2 linked regions of the Struthio camelus genome follow. The protein of the gene in region 2 interacts with the protein of the main gene of each other region in a pairwise test. Links are inferred from orthologs where the notes say so. Each region holds a gene or a part of one and is shown on either strand. Other genes may lie near its edges.

The links. The genes of interacting proteins can lie anywhere in the genome.
Region 1: the proteins of KATNAL1 (region 2) and KLC4 interact in binary tests that used the Homo sapiens proteins (3 or more experiments, as listed by UniProt). The two-hybrid records come from large-scale screens. The link is inferred for Struthio camelus from reciprocal best matches to the Homo sapiens genes KATNAL1 and KLC4.

What each region holds. Positions count from the first base shown.
Region 1 is NC_090944.1:148,108,126-148,115,772, reverse strand, and holds the start of KLC4 (kinesin light chain 4), read right to left. Parts: upstream 3,014-7,647; 5' UTR 2,999-3,013; coding exon 2,987-2,998; intron 1,705-2,986; exon of another isoform or gene 1,400-1,704; intron 1,284-1,399; coding exon 1,017-1,283; intron 810-1,016; coding exon 579-809; intron 225-578; coding exon 146-224; intron 54-145; coding exon 1-53.
Region 2 is NC_090942.1:199,541,251-199,549,185, reverse strand, and holds the start of KATNAL1 (katanin p60 ATPase-containing subunit A-like 1), read right to left. Parts: upstream 3,015-7,935; 5' UTR 466-3,014; intron 99-465; exon of another isoform or gene 1-98. UniProt on the Homo sapiens protein: Regulates microtubule dynamics in Sertoli cells, a process that is essential for spermiogenesis and male fertility. Severs microtubules in an ATP-dependent manner, promoting rapid reorganization of cellular microtubule arrays.

The sequences.
Region 1 (7,647 bases), on a different chromosome or scaffold from region 2:
CTCATAGCCTCCCTGCTGGGCAGCTGCCACTGCACTGCTGTGCTGGTGGGGCACTGTGGGCACAGATGAGTAAACGGGGGCAACATTGGGCACAACGGGTTGAAACAGAGGTGGTCGGCAACCATGCATGAGCACAAACACTTACATCCAGGACCGTGCTCCTCCTCCTCATTGGGGAACAGATCATCCAGAGAGTCCTTGGTGGAGTCGCCCTCCTTCTCCTCCTGGAAGAATGGGGATCACGATGCTGTTGGTTCTCAGAGGAGGTGGCAGCAGCCTGGGCCAAATCAGCTGCCAATCTCTCCTCTCCACTGCAGCCCACCAAGGCCCTCAGCTTCCTTGTGGCCTCTGCCACCTTTCCCCTCCCACCCAATGAAGCCAACACAACATCCCCCAACGCACCCTGGCACCCTTCCCCACGTTCTGCCCGAGACCCTGCCCCATGCGGTCTCCCTTTAGTTGCAGCCAAGTATTGCCGGGCAAGGAAGCCAGCAAGGGACAAGGCTATTAAACCTAGGCAATCCCACTGGTCCCAGCCCCCTGCACAAAGGCAGCTGTTCCCCCAGACAAGAACATACCGAAGGAGAGACATCCTCATCATACTTCTTCAGCTGGTTCATGAATTCAAGGTGTTTCTTCTCTTCCTCCAGCTGAGCCACGGTCTGCTCACTGCGCTGCAGCTTCTGCTGGGTGTTGGCGAGTTCATCACGCAGCCACTGGTTCTCCTGGCACAGTCTCCGCACCTGAGCGCGCAGCTTCTGCTTCTCCGACTCCACAGCGTTCAGATGGTTGGACAATGCCATCATCACCTTGCCAAAAGTCCCAGCTGGCCAGTCAGTACCTACCACAATCCTGTATCCCCTACAACACGCAAGCTCAGGAGGGCCCACCCTCTGGGTCACCCTGGCCCTCTACCTTCAGCTCTTTGCTGCCCCTGCAGCTTACAAAAAACAGCCAAATGCCTGCCTTCCCCATCAGTTCTTGCTACCACCTACGAGGGCACTCGCCACTCTCACCTGAGCTTCTCCGAGCCCCAGTTCGATCATCTCCACTGACTTGCGGAGCAGGTTGGATTTCTCATGCACGAGATTGGCTTCTTCATCCTTCTTCAGGCACTTGATGGTCTCCAGCAAGCTGTGCAGGATGGAGTTGTGTTCATTCTTCAGTGCCTCCAGCCCCTGCATCACCAGCTTGGTGTTGGAAATGATCTCCTCTTGGCTCAGCTTGTCCAGTTTCTCCTCCCTTGGGTACACCATGGTGGACATAGTCCTGCTACCGCAGCCCTACACAGAGAGGGAGACAAAAACCCAGGAGCCTCAGTGCTATTTCAGAGAGCTGCAATCAGACAAGTGTAAGCCTCCTTCAGGCAGCCAGAGACAGGGTACAACTGGTTACCCACACTAAGTCTTTCCCCTTTGTCTTCCCCTCTCCCTTTGGCAGCAGGCAGCTCTCAGGGCACGTGTCTCTGCTTCTGTGGCATGGAGCACTGGCAGACAGGGCAGGTGGCACGCATGGACAGCAGACAAAAAGGCCAGAACAAGCGCTGACTTCCAACACCCCCACACCCCTGGCAGCAAGGAAAGCTGATTTAGCTTCCATTTAAGAGCAGAGATCTGTAGTCGGCAGCTGGGGCTGCAACACGTACACCTCCCGCCCACAAATCACTGATGCGAGGAGGCTGTCAGAGCTCAACGCCTCTTCCGACTGCAGAAGAAAGGGAATAGAAAGTGGAGAGATGCCAGCTCAAAGCTTTCCGCTTCCTCAAATTCCCTAGAAGAGTACCTCTCAGACTGGGAGGCACCTGTGGACTTACTAGACCAGTCAACAAATTCCCTGACCAAATGCGGACCCCGAAAATCTCAGCCCCCGGCACAGAACAGCCCTTGTGGGACACGAAAACACCAACATTGACTGAAGCACGTCTGTGTGGGGAAGTTTACATGCACCAACTGCGCAAGTTATACTAGCGTAACCCTTGTGTGGGTGTTAGCTTAAAACAGCAGCAGCTTTCCCAGCTCCATTTGCCCTGCTGCCAGCCCAAGGACTCCTCAGGATGGCACAAGAACTCTGCACTCCTTCCCCGTCTCACTCTCCCCATCTATACAACAGACAGTACCAAGCCACTGCCTTTACACAGGGGCACCGAGCGCTACAATCCACCACGTTAGCATGACCGCAAGATCCCTGCATAGCAAACTCAGGAGCTAGGGAGAGCCGTGCCTCACAATGCGACGCCCCTCAGCAGGCAGCAGCATCTGCCCAGCGACACCCTTCTGCAGGCCCAGAGCTGGCAGGAGGCAGCGCAAGCTGAGCACCCTGGACCCTGCTGGCAGACTGCCCAGGCGTTACACAGCACTGTGGCGGCGGGACAGGCTGAGGAGCCGCCTGGCGGATTTGTGTTTGTCCTCCTGCAGGACCTATCTCCGCAGGATTTTGAGTAATTTGTTCAGCAGCAGCCTTGGGCCTGGGTTCACAGAGCGAGCAGAAATGCCGCCCTCAGCAAGAATGTCTCGTCCTCCTCGTCAAGCCTCCTCTCCTCCTCAGCTGCACACTTTGCCCAGGAGGGCTCAGGACGATCCCCCAGCTCAGCTACCACCAGTCTTGTCTAGGAGCAGGCCCTGGGCACGAGAGGGGACCAATTTCCTCCTCACTGCAGCAGGGAAAGAGAAGATGGATGGAGCCAGGGCAGATGCTGCGAGCACACACAGCCCATGACACCCCACCCGTCTCCTCTTGGTTAGCCTCACTCCTCCAGAACTTCCTCGAGTTGTTTTACAGGCCCCAGCTCTCCTCTCAGCTCCTCTCTGGTCTCTGTTCCACCCCTTGCAAAGCATAGTGAGCTCTCAATGCACAGCAGAACCCTTACTGAACCTCAGCAGAGCAGAAAAAAACACCATGTTGCTTGAAGACTGGGCTCCTCTTCATACCTTTCAGCAGGAATTGACTGTCCTCCCACACAAAGTCACAATGCTGAATTCATATTTACCTCATGATCCATCAGCAGCACCAGCCCTGTGCAGAAGCTTGTCGTATCCTTCCCTTTTGAGCGTCTGTCATTCCCTGCATGCAGTCACCCCAACCGTTTTGCACTTCACTCCCAAAAGTTTCATCCGGCCTGTGACATTTGCCCATTTGTGTAGGAGAACACAACATGATAAGAACAGCATGGAAAACCTCACTTGAGTCAAGACACAGGGCACAGACTAACAGACTATTGCTTTGGAAAAAAAAAAAAAAAAAAAAAAAAGAGAGGTCTGTTGGGAGTTGGCTGCCACTCACATCCTCTCTTCCAAATTGCTTAACTGCCAGTTCCTAGAGAATCCATCTGGTCCATAATTCCCCAGTTTTTCTTTTTCTCCATCTTTATAAAACATCACGGAGGGTGGGGGGTGGGGGTGGAGGGGGGGCTGGGGGAAATTAAGTGTTAATGCAACAAGAGGAGAAAAACCAAACAAATAAACCCCCAAAACCTAAAATAAGCCTTCTCCCGGTGAGCGCAATTCAGGAAGAGATGTGCAATGATTCCTGGCTCCAGAGGAAGTCAGGGCAGATACCTATCTGCTTCCACCAAAGCTGAGGTAACAACTGCTAAAGGGCAAAACGGACCTGTCACTAGCTTCAACTCAGGAGGGAACTCAGCCCTAGACTCAAAAACAGAGAAATCTGAAAACAGGAGTCCTCTGGAGCAGAGCCAACGCTCAGAGACATGAGGAGGTCCCAGGGACTGCCTCGTACCCAGCATACAGCAAAACTAGAGCTCTGCCCTAAAGCTCACGCAGCTGTGCAGCCTGCAAACGCCTCTTCATCCGTCCCTCCACATATAGGGTCATCTGTGAAACACTGACAGTGTTCAAGGAAGCATTACGGATGCCCCTACAGAGAGGATGAGCTCTTGCTGCCATCTTTGATAAGCACACTACAAACACATGGGAGAGAGGTACACATTATGAATCATGACAAAAAGTCACCATCAGAACTTGCACCTTGCTAGATAACAGAGTCAGACAAGACCCAGATCCATATGAAATCAGCCTCATTAATTCCACCACGCACAGAATTACTCCTTGACTGAGAAGTCTGAGCTGTCTGTTAAAATAGCAGCATCCCGTCTTTCTTCAGCCTTTCCAGCAGAAAAAGCTGAGAGCATTTCACAGTCCCCACAATTAACTTTCTTTCACAACTTTCAACGTTTCAGAGTGTCTGAGAAGGGAAAATAAGCAAAACGTGCTGACTTAGGGCACATCAGACTTAACCTACCCTGGAAGTGCATATAATGATCCTTGGATCCTCAAGACATACTGATATCCCTTATCTCTTCGGCTGTGCAAATACCTACGCAGCCCTCACCTTTCTTCCCTAAGAGGTGTGCAGACTCCGATATCCCAGACACGCAGCTCTGCTAGCTACCAACAGGCTTAGCGCCCAACTCTGACTTCCCGTGCAAGGGTGGTGGCGGGGGGGGGATTGTCTAGGCTGGACACTCCCCCGTAAGGGCATAAGACCAGGCAACAGCACTCAGGCTGTCCTATTCCCCTCCCAAGTACTGACAAGGAAATAAAGAGAGAACTGCAGAGGAGTTGCTTAAATGCTGCTACCTCCTGCACAGGAAAGAAAGCCCACAAACGCTGGTGAGAGATGGTTTATTATCCCTCCAAAGTGACAGTTTGTCCTTACAGCACCTTATTTCTAGCTCTCCCCAGTGCCGGCAGGTCTACGCCCAGTGCACAGCCCTCAAGAGAGCAAACACGCTCTATGGCAACCGACACTAAGGTCAAGCAGGCTGAGGCTGCTGTGTAAGCACTCTTCCCACTCCCACACGCTCAGCAAAGGGAACCGAGTGCCTTTTGTCCAGGCAGAATATCCACTCAGAGACGGGGAGACACCACCCTTTACCTTTGGAAGGGGGAGGCTCAGGCCGGGCAGTTTGGAAATAGGAAGAAAGGGTGCTTTTCCAGTGGGCATCCTTGGGAGCTGGAGTGTCCAGCTCCCAGTTTCTCCTGCTGGCTCCCCTACGGCTCTGCGGGTGCTGCAGCCCAGGTCTCCAGCAGCATGTTTCTGCTCTACTTGGCACGTCTTCCCTATTCGCAGTAAGCTGCTGGAACAGTCTGGCTTTTCAGCAATACGGGTCTCCCCTCCCCTCCCCTGCTCTCCTTTGGAGGAGCGCTGCAGGAGGACAGGGGAGGAACATGCGTGCACCAAGCTTTCTGGCAGTCGCAGCAATGAGCTGGGAATCCACCAGCTGGCATGTCCTGCTAGGCAGGAACCTTCCTCCTCGATTCAAGTGTATAACCAGGCAATTGCTGAGCATCAACACTTTCATCAGCCCACTTTTCTGCCTCTGAAAAATGCTCCCACGTGCAAGAGCTTTAAGAGGAAAGCTGGAAGCTTCACTGCTTGTGTCTTAAACCCACAACAGCTGCCACATCAGAAACTAGGATGCCAGACTAAACGGGTCTAGATCATGATGCCCAATGCTGGAAGACCACAGGGAGCAACAAAATTATCACCAGGAAAATCAGGTGTCAACTACAATAAGAACAAAGACTTGAGTTGGTCATTGCCTGCACCTCTACACGTGCCTCTACAAAGTCAGCTCCCTTCACTGTCTCCCCAGATGTCCCCGGACAAAGTGTGTATCAGACACAGGGCAGTGTCAAGACTTGCACAAGCAACACTGTCAAGACAATAACTGCAGCTTCCTTCAAGCCATGGATTGCCTGCCAGTCCTTTTTGTATAGGAGCAAGTAAAAATTTTAGCAGCACACTCTTATGTGGGAAAAAGCAATATAAGGATATGGTGGCAGTAGAAAAACAACTGGGTTTCGGGGGTGGGGAGAGAAGGAAAGGAAAACTTTCTGTGGGAAGGAATAAAACTGATTCTTAGTGAGAACAAGAGACCAAGTTTGGGAGATGGATAGCAACAATAGTGTTTTAGAGATGGAAACATGGGACCTGAAGTCTTATTTTCACAATAATCATCCCAGTCATGTGCTGTGGGACATGCCTTCACTACCTGGAAAATGAAGAAAGCTATGCATTTGGGAAGCAAACCATAACTTGATAGAGGCAGGGAGGTTTTTTTCCTTTGCACCTCTGCAAGCTCATTACTGTTACACAACACAATAAAAGATCTCTGGGAAGACTGGTCAAACTCCAATTAAGCTGAGACTGAAATCTGCAATTGCAGAGCCTCCACTCCTAAGGGACACTGCAACAACACCCAGACCTAATGCCTTAGACATTCAAAAATAAAATAACAACAATAAAAAGCAAACAGAGTCCCAGGGTTGCAACCGTCCCAGAGGCTGTGTCACAAGCACAAGCTTTCTCCTGCTTTTTGTCCTGTGGCATCAGAAAGGAAACAGACAGAGGCTAGGAAGCTCCTGCTGCAAGGCCAGGAAACATTCACACCGTCACATCACTACCAGCAGAACTGCTGCGGCCAGGGTCGTCGCCCCACGTGAGCTGTGACAGTGCCACGGAAAAGGGACCGCACACTGGTGCTGCCAAGTTGCACGTGACAGGCGGTGTGTCCAGAGCTGCTCTGATAGGGGGAACACAGGAAATACGATCAGCTCTGTGTGGTGCCCAAGAACTTCACAGCTCCGAGCAGCTGCAAGCACACATGTTGAAACTTCAGAAACAAAAGCAAGAGAAGGATGTTTTGCAAGTGAAAAGACAGATGGGCGTACAATCAGCTTCAGGGTAACAGTTAAGAACTGCTACAGCTAGGAATAAGAGCCAGAAATTAAAGGACAGATGCTGAACGGCTAACAGTAAGGTCTGCAGAAATAATTGCAGTATATGGCTCCCTGCTGGGCTACATGCCTGCTGAGGCTGCCATTCGTGGCAGGGGGCAGGAACAGTGCGCCATTCTGTGCACGACCACTGCCAAAAATGCCTGGTACATCTCATGCTCCCTTTCCAAGGAGAAAGGGTCACCGTTGCACAGAGCCATGGAGAACACACAAGCAGGAGGTCAGATGGGTTTCAGCATCCTGTGAACTCATACCCAGCGCAGGAAGGCACACCTCTGAGCTGCAATCCCAAAACCGGGAGATGTCACTCAAACCCTGACACACATAAGGCCTCCTACCATCATTTGACTCTGGCTCACGAGCTTTCTCATCCCGCTGTCAAAAAAGGGGGCTCCTAGGAGCCACATCTTCTGCCCCAAGGTCTTCCCAAACCCAGCCTCCAGCCTGGACTTTTCTTGCACTACAGACAGTCTCGAGAGCTGGACTGATGATCCCATGTATGCTAGAGAGACCAACGTGCTGCAACTCACACCCTAGCAGAAGGGTCTGCAATGGCTCTTGCATCATTTGGAAGGGATGCCTGGAGGTCCCTGGTCCATTCCCCACTCAAAGCAGGGCCATCTAGATCAGGTGCACGAGGCCTGTGTCCAGTCCAGGCTTGAGTATCGCCCAAGACAGAGATCCCACCACCCCTCCAGACCCCTGTCCCATGGTTTGACCATCCTCCCAAAGGGGGGAAAAAATAAACCCACCACCAACAACAACCTGAAGTCCAGTTGGATAAATTCCTCATTTGCCTTGGCTGAACCTCGCTTCAGGATCAAGGGGCCAGGCATTACAGCAGCAGACACAAACCCGAGCCCAAAGGAAGGGAATGCAACACAGGTGT
Region 2 (7,935 bases):
GCGCGCGCGCGCGCGGCGGCGGCAACGGCCGGTTGCCATGGCGGCGGCGGCGGAGCGCGGGGAGGGACGGCGTAGCCGCGGCGCAGCATCCCGCTACCCCGCCCCCGCCGCGAGGCCGCAGCTGCGAGGCGGGGGCGCGGCCGTTGGTGGGGGAGGGGCGGGGCGCGCCCCACCCGCCCGTGGGGAGCTCGGCCCCGGCCGCGCCCAGGGCGGGCGCTGAGGGCACCCGGTGCCCGGCACCCCTGCCGAGGGCTGGCCGGCCGGCCGGCCGGCGGCGTGGCCTCGCCTTCAAAGCGCTGTCCCTTCCCAAGAGGGGCCCTAGGTGCCGTCCCCACGGGGGTGACCCCGGAGCTGCACCCGCGGAGGCTTCTTCCACATGCGCTTTCGTGGGTCCCCAGAGGGAGTCGGAGATTTTTTTCCTTTGTTTGTTTTTCTGGAGAGAGAGAAGAACAGACGAGTCCTGACCTTTCTCGAACGTGTGAAGGGCCTTCCACTGCCTGGATGCGTAGGCAGAAAACTCGCACCTTCTCCCTCAAGAGTTTCCGTGACCTTGTCCTGGCGGAGGGAAAGGGTGTGGTTTCTCCAGCGAGCTTCAAACAAAGGAAAAGCTCTTCACATCTTCATCTTTGAGGATGGCGATGGGTGTTGCAAGCCCCCTGCCCCCCCCCCCCCCGTTTCCACTGTTAAGCCTACATTTTAGGAATCCTTAGAATAATTTCTGTTAAAATTACTGGCTTGAGTTAAGAAAGAGAGCCTCGCCCTTTCAGTCCATTAAGAAAAGACCCACAGTTAAAAGTGGCACTCTCCCTTTCAAAGGAGGAAAGTGTAAGCCTTAGAAGTGATAAAACACCACAGCATGCAGATACGCTTCTGAACCAGCCGAACTGCAGTTCCAGCAGTTTTCTATGGTTACCATTTTTTTTTAGGTTTTATTTATTTAAGTTTTAATGGATTTTCACATACACAATACAAAACTCATCTCTTCCCACTTCAGCTGTGGGAGTGACTAGAAAAGGCAAAATATGCAGTTGTCCTCTGTATGGGCACACAGAGACTTGATACACATTTTGCTAGCAGATGTCATGGCTTTCATATAAGAACTGAACACATAAGATTTTTGGGATTCCCATTTTCCCATTTTTTTGGGAGCCAGGTGATACGTGGTGGTCACAGGCAGCCTAATCAAAGAAAAGCACCCAGTTTATGTTATTGCCAAGAATGGATATTACCTAGCATTTCTGAAGCAAGCATCTCATACGTAAGATAAACGGTTGGGTCTCTTATAAAGGAAACAATAAGTCTCTCAAAGGATATGATTTCACAATTAATGTGAGTCAGTCAGTGTCCTTATTGCTACCAAAAGGGACAGTCCTGCCTTCTTCTCTGATCCTGGCTATGCTTTCCTGTGACTTACACAGCAGTAATGCTCAAGTCACTATCTGGTAAGGTAGGTCTAGGGTCTGAACCATCTGAAAGCTGGGTATACCTCTCCAAAAAAAAAAACCAAACAGTTTTTAGCAGAATCAATTCCTGAATTAGTTGACCCCACAAAGCTGCATCGGGCCCCAGGAAGACAGAGGGAACATGTGATGGAGGCAGGATTAGCCCAGTGAGATCCCAACAGATTTGAGCTGTGTTTCCGTGTGCACCAACACCACTTCAATGGCTCTGTGCCACTTGTGACAACTCTGAGACTTTCCCAGTAATGACCATGTGGTAGCTCCCTATAATGACATGTAACTTAACTGGAAAACGTAAACGTTAGTTACCTTGACGTAGCAGCATTAGGTGGTACTTCACAAAAAGGGCCTCAGAAATGCTAACTAACATAAGTGAAAGAGCAAGGATTGAAGCTAAGAGCTTAGTACGCCTCTTAAATAATGCAGCATGTGTGTATGTGTCACTCACATATATGCGCATGTCTTGCTTCCCTCAAAATCACGTGGAGATTTTTCTGCCTTTGTGAGCCCCTCTGGCTTCCCCCTTTTCCAGACTTCTCCATACTTGCCTGCTGAAGGCATGATTCCTCCTGGTTTTCCACATACCCAAAAGCAAAGATGCTATGCAGATCTTAGAGAGCCTAAGGCTTCTTAGGGCCAACAGATTGCAAGCAGCCTGTCCCTTGCACCACCGTAATATCTCTTCCCACAAGACTGTATACCTCCTATCACTTTAGCCAACACATGAACTGATTTGTCTGAGGATCAGATCCCTCAGCTAGGAAATTGTGACACAGAGAAGTAAGGTTGGCTGTTCAGTCATAACCTCTGGTTTTTTTCTTCTTTCCATGGGCTGCTTCCTCGTGACATAGGGTAACCATATTCCCATTGACTTCCAATTGAAAAGCAGTTGCTTACAGTCATAGCAATACCTGTCTCACTCTAGTTGGACTCCTCAGAGGGAAAGTTTGATTCAGAAAGCATGATCTACACAATTTGCCAAGATCTAATAAGTAACTATAACTTAAAAGTAAGCAGCAGGAAAAGAACCAGCTCTCCAGACTGCTAACCCTGTATACTACGCATACATAAGGATCACAGGGTAGTTCCTGTTGGAAGGGACCCCAGGAGGTCCTCTAGGCCAGCCTCCTGCTCTTTCTCACTGTAAAGCTCATAATTATACTACTATGTGGTTTTTGATCATGAGAAGGGACAACTGGAGGAGAAAGGACTAACAGGCCTATAGAAGTTCATAAACTTGTTAATGAGGAGAAAGACAGTAGATTTGCGCATGCCATTTCATAGCCTTTTGTATTGCTATGGTCAGATGAACTCCAGGAAATGTGGCTGGAGTGATGTAAGATATATTACTTCCCTAATTATTTGTTCTACCTCTCTGCTGAAGGTTTCTGCCTCCACAACAGTCCCTGGAATGGAAAACACTCCTGTCTCTAATCCATTTTATTACAAAAACTGGCATTAAACTCATCCTTATCAGCAATTTAAGTTAATTTGCTGGACCTCATATTGAAGCAGCCGAGAGTCATGCACATATTTCATTCCACCAACTCTGCTGTGAGGCAGTAATCTCAGGCAAAGAGAAGGTAAGAAATCCTTGGGAGAGGTGACACTTTAAACCACTGAAACTTGTTCTACTATGAATATATTCTCTCCCATGGATTACTTTTTTTTTTCTTTTTGACAGAAGACCTAAACCTAGCAGTTCTGGATAAGACATGATGTTGGTGGGTGTCAGAGGCTGTGGTTAGACAGGCTCCAGCTGTGTTGGTAGAGGAGGGCATTACTCGCAGCCAAACCCCAGAGACTTAACATGCCCCTTCCCAGAGGCCTGTAATTCTGCCCGCAGAGCTGGCATTGTGTGCCCTCTCTCTCCAATTTATTCTATGAATTTAGTCAGTTCAATCAGAAGCTGATATAAATTAGCGTAACTCTTTTGCCATGAACATCTGAATTGGTTCAAAAGTATCTCTTAAGCCACAGTAATTGCAGACACTGTCAGCCATGTTTTAAGCTAGCCACACTTAGGGTCTGTGTCAGATTAACAAAACTGGTTTCTAAATTGATTTGGTTATTATTGCATAAATTCCATAGACTGTATCTAACTCAGATGGCTGGCACGGGCATTTAGCGCTGTAGCAGGGAGCTTCATTCGTAGCCTCCTCCCACACAAAGTTCTGCAAGAGAAGACTGAAAGCACATGAGATACTTGTGAATTATGAACTGCCCTCTGCTTTTGTCATCGCTTCCCCTTGCAATTATATTTAATTGGGCCATAGGAATTATTCTGCCTTTGTAGTAATCTTTAATACTCAAATGCAAACATAAGTCTATACCAAAGGTCTTACAGACAACATTGAGAAATGCTTTAATAATTGGAGGTGAAAAGCAATAGAGAAACAATAGGGAAAAGAAGGAGCATGTTACATAATCATGGTCATTAACCTCCCAAGAGAAGTTATGCACAACTTAGTAAAGGCATATTACTTTGTAAACATGCATAGTAATTGGTCTGCCTAGGTATTTTTATTGTATGGTATTTATTAGTATGACACATCCACCATTTTTTATCCTCGAAGAGAACTTTAAAGTCTGAACCTTAAGAAATTTTGACAAAGTGGCAACACAGAAGGATTTAGTTGACATCTTTCACACAAGCTACTTCTCAAAATTCTGTAGGCTGGTAATAAAGACTCTTTCAAGGCAGAGCAGTTGATTTTCAGATGAGATTTCAATTAAACCAGAAAGTCAGCATAGGGCTGGCCGCAAGCTATTGTATTTTTCCAGTCAAAGATAGACATCTGTTACGTAGACTTGTGCATCTGAATTAGGCTTCCTCTAGATTTTCTTCATGGTAGAGAGAGAGAGGTACTTCAGGGATATAGTTCCCCCTTTGACCAAGGGGGACTGTGCCCTGAATGTGCTTTTTTTTTTTCCTAATATTTATAGAAGGTGATCATTGTAAATAGCAGTTTCTGCAGTGCAGATGCCTAAAGGTGGGTGAGAGGAGTCCCACCTAAGATGTTTGTTGCATGGTTGGAGCCATAGAGAGAAATAGTTGTCACGACACTTACGGCCTCTTAGATTAAAATGATGAAGAGGCCAATGCCAGATTAATGGAAAGAACAGGTAGAAGAGAAGGTAGATCTTTGACATGGCTTGAAGCAAGTCCACAGTGGGTTGAAAAAATAATAGCTCTGCTTTGAGTCTTTTGACAGAAATTAGAAGAATTACTAGAAACTAAGGTGTCATATTTCTTTTTTCTATACACTTAATATACAGAAGCGTTTTGCATCTGCTGGAGTGTTACTGTTCAGAGAAGGAATAAGAAAGTAGCTTACAGTAGTCCAAACAGAAAGGAAGGCTTGGAAAGAAACCTCAGAGAAAGTGGAGTCAGCAGTTGTTACATGAAAACTGGAACAGGAAAAGAAAAGTTCATTCACATCATCCCAGTCCTGTGGCAGGTCATCAGATAGTATAAAGTGGCAGAGCTCCGTTAATATGATGTGTTTGCTAGAATTGACAGCTAAGAAGAAATCTCCTGTGATACACAAGAGAATTAAGTGAGAAAGGTTTGGCAATATAACTCTTTCATGGTAGGGTGTGGATTTTAGGCTGGTTTGCTAAAGATGTGACACTTCTGGAATTGCATGCAGTCTTTCCCACGGCAGTCATTTCGAACCTCATTGGCTAATTTCAGGCACATCTGACAAAAGGTTGGAAGTTGTTATAATAATTGAGTTCCTTTTAGTTTAGTAGTAAGTGGCAGGATACAAAAGATGGGCCTTGCTGTTGCCCCAATGGAGCACAAGGTGGGGAGAACTTAGCTGTTAAATGGTTCATCTGGCAACAGGCTGGCCAATCTGCATGCAAAAAATGACTGACTGCCCTCACTGCTACTTGCTGCACCTACTTCTGAGCACAGCTGCAGTGTCATATGTGACACACAGGCTGCTTTATATATTGCAGTGGTGAGGGCTAAGGGGAAATGGATACACAACTGTAGGATACTAGGCTTCAGTAGTTTGAACCAAGCAGTTGTATCAATGCAGCCTGTTACCTGGCATAGCCAAAAATTTAAGTCGTGCTGGTATATGTTAGTGGCCTTTGCTTATAGATACGTTTCTGACTTAAAGTGTCAGTTTCGAATATAAGAGCTATTGTGCAGCTTTTTGCGCAGTTTAGATGCCCAAACCATTAGATTAAACAAAGCTCAGTCTATTACATATTAATAGCTTGCCCACCATTTTAGATTTCCTAGGCATCCTAGCTCCAATTCTGCAGTGTGAGATACTAGAAGGTGAACTGACTTTAACAGTCCACTCCTGTAAACACAGTCATCCAGAATAGAAGTCAGTTATATTTAAAGAGCGCTTCTTAACGTATCATAATCCTTTCCAGGATTGTGTTGAACAGTCCTTTGAATAGTGCTATGATCAATGGCAATGAAGGTAGTCATATTTGAAGGAAGATGCAGTGAAAATCTGTGTGCTGGTATATACTTAAAAAGCAAGAGTGCAAGTCAGGAGTGAGGAGGTAAGCACACTGGTGGCCATGCATCTGTATTAGAAGAACAATTTCTGTCATTTATAGATAAATTCTAAAACTTCAGTCCCTGCATGTGTATAAAGGTCTGAGTAAACACGGGCAATACACTAAATGGCAAGAAATAACTACAAATGAAAGTGTAGCCAAAGTGCCTAATGAAAACCTACAAAAATATTTAAGAAGAACAAGAAGGTTAAATAATATGGTGGTGATCATTGTGAATTCCCTTTCTTTTCTCTTTCTGGTCCTCTGATGTGATAACTATAGGGTATATGCAGTGGTTTCCATGTGAACAACTTAATCTGGTTCCCATTACGAGTGTAAAATTGGGAATCTTTTTTTAACTTTAAATTTGGATTGTATTTGGAAGATGTGCATTTGTTAATTTTTTCGTGCATCTAATAAATGAGCAACACAATAGTGTCATAACAGTGTGTCAGTAGCACAGAAAACAGCATCTCATAAAAGAACAAACATTGGCATAATAGCTTTGGTTAAACATATTTTAAATTTTTATAACATCCCATTCACATTCTCTGGGGAAATACTGCCTACGTTTAGCATCTAACTTGGATGCCTAAATTAGGAGGCTCGTCTCCCTAGATGCCTTGCATAGTCTAAGAGAGAGAGAGGTTCCTCCAGGGAGCAATTCAGACTATGTAAGCTAGGCTTCTGCTCTGAATTATCATCTGGAGGAGCCTCTTCAGCTTTGAATGCTGTTCTGTGCTATTCTTTGCATCTTGTCCTCGGCAACAAAAGTGACTTAACAGGTCCTCGCCCCTCAGCGCTTGTTCTTGCCCTCTGCTTTTGCTTATCACTCTGTCGTTTGTGCAGGTACAGCTGTTTATGTGGTGGCACTGTAAACTGGGTTGGTGAAATGATCTGGATTAAATAGGATCCTGTGAAATAAAGTGTTAGTTTTACCCTAGATCACATCTCTGTCAGGTTTATGGTGTGACCTTGTAAACAGTTACACCTGCCTATTTGAGGAAGTGAAGAGCTTTAGCAAGAGACAGAAATGAGTTGCTGGATACAGGGACCTGTTTGTCAAGTTTGCCACCAAGACAAAGATACATTCCACTTAGGGATGTAAGTTAAGGAGACCAGATATCCTTCTCTAAGCCTCATTCTGTTCATGTACGTGACTTTTATTCCCATTATAGTTTCACAAATATAATGTAAGTTTATTATGATATACATGACTGTAAGAAAAAGATAATCTAGTCTTGTTATCTCCGTTATCCATATAAAACGGGTCATAATTTGAACAAAATAGCTTATAGGATTTACAAACGCACCATGAAAACATATGCTAAACTTATTAATAAACCGAAAATCACAGTGTAGAGACTAATATAGAGCAACTGCAGTCAAGTTTGAGTAGCTTAAGGAGTTGCTCACTCTTCAGCCAAGAGTTGCTAATATTTTGTCGGAGACCCTGAATGCAGTTTACCTAACCTTAGTGGTCTGCAGTGTGGACGTCCACACATGAGCTGGTTGCCTTATAGTCCCTTTAAAATCCATGAAAAAAATGGTCTTTTAGGTTGTGATTCATATGACCAATATTTGATATCTGCCATAGGACAAAAATGAATCTATCCTATGAGGGTCTGTTCACTCCAATGATTAGAGAGAGAGGTGGGTTGACTCCCTCAGATATGAAATACCTGCATTTGGCCAGCTGACTCCCACCCACAGTCGGTGCAGCTGTTCCTTTTATGTAGCACTGCAGACAGACTATAACAAGCTAGGTTCAGTTGCCTTCTGTACTAACCTCTAAAACCACTCACACTCTGCTGCAAGCACATGACAGACTAAAACTTCATTTTCTGATGAGATTTATTAAAAGCTATCCTAGTTCAGAGGGATTTGGTGCCACTAATGACCACTGTTATAACACTTTTCCAATCTCTTGTAGTAAGATACGTCA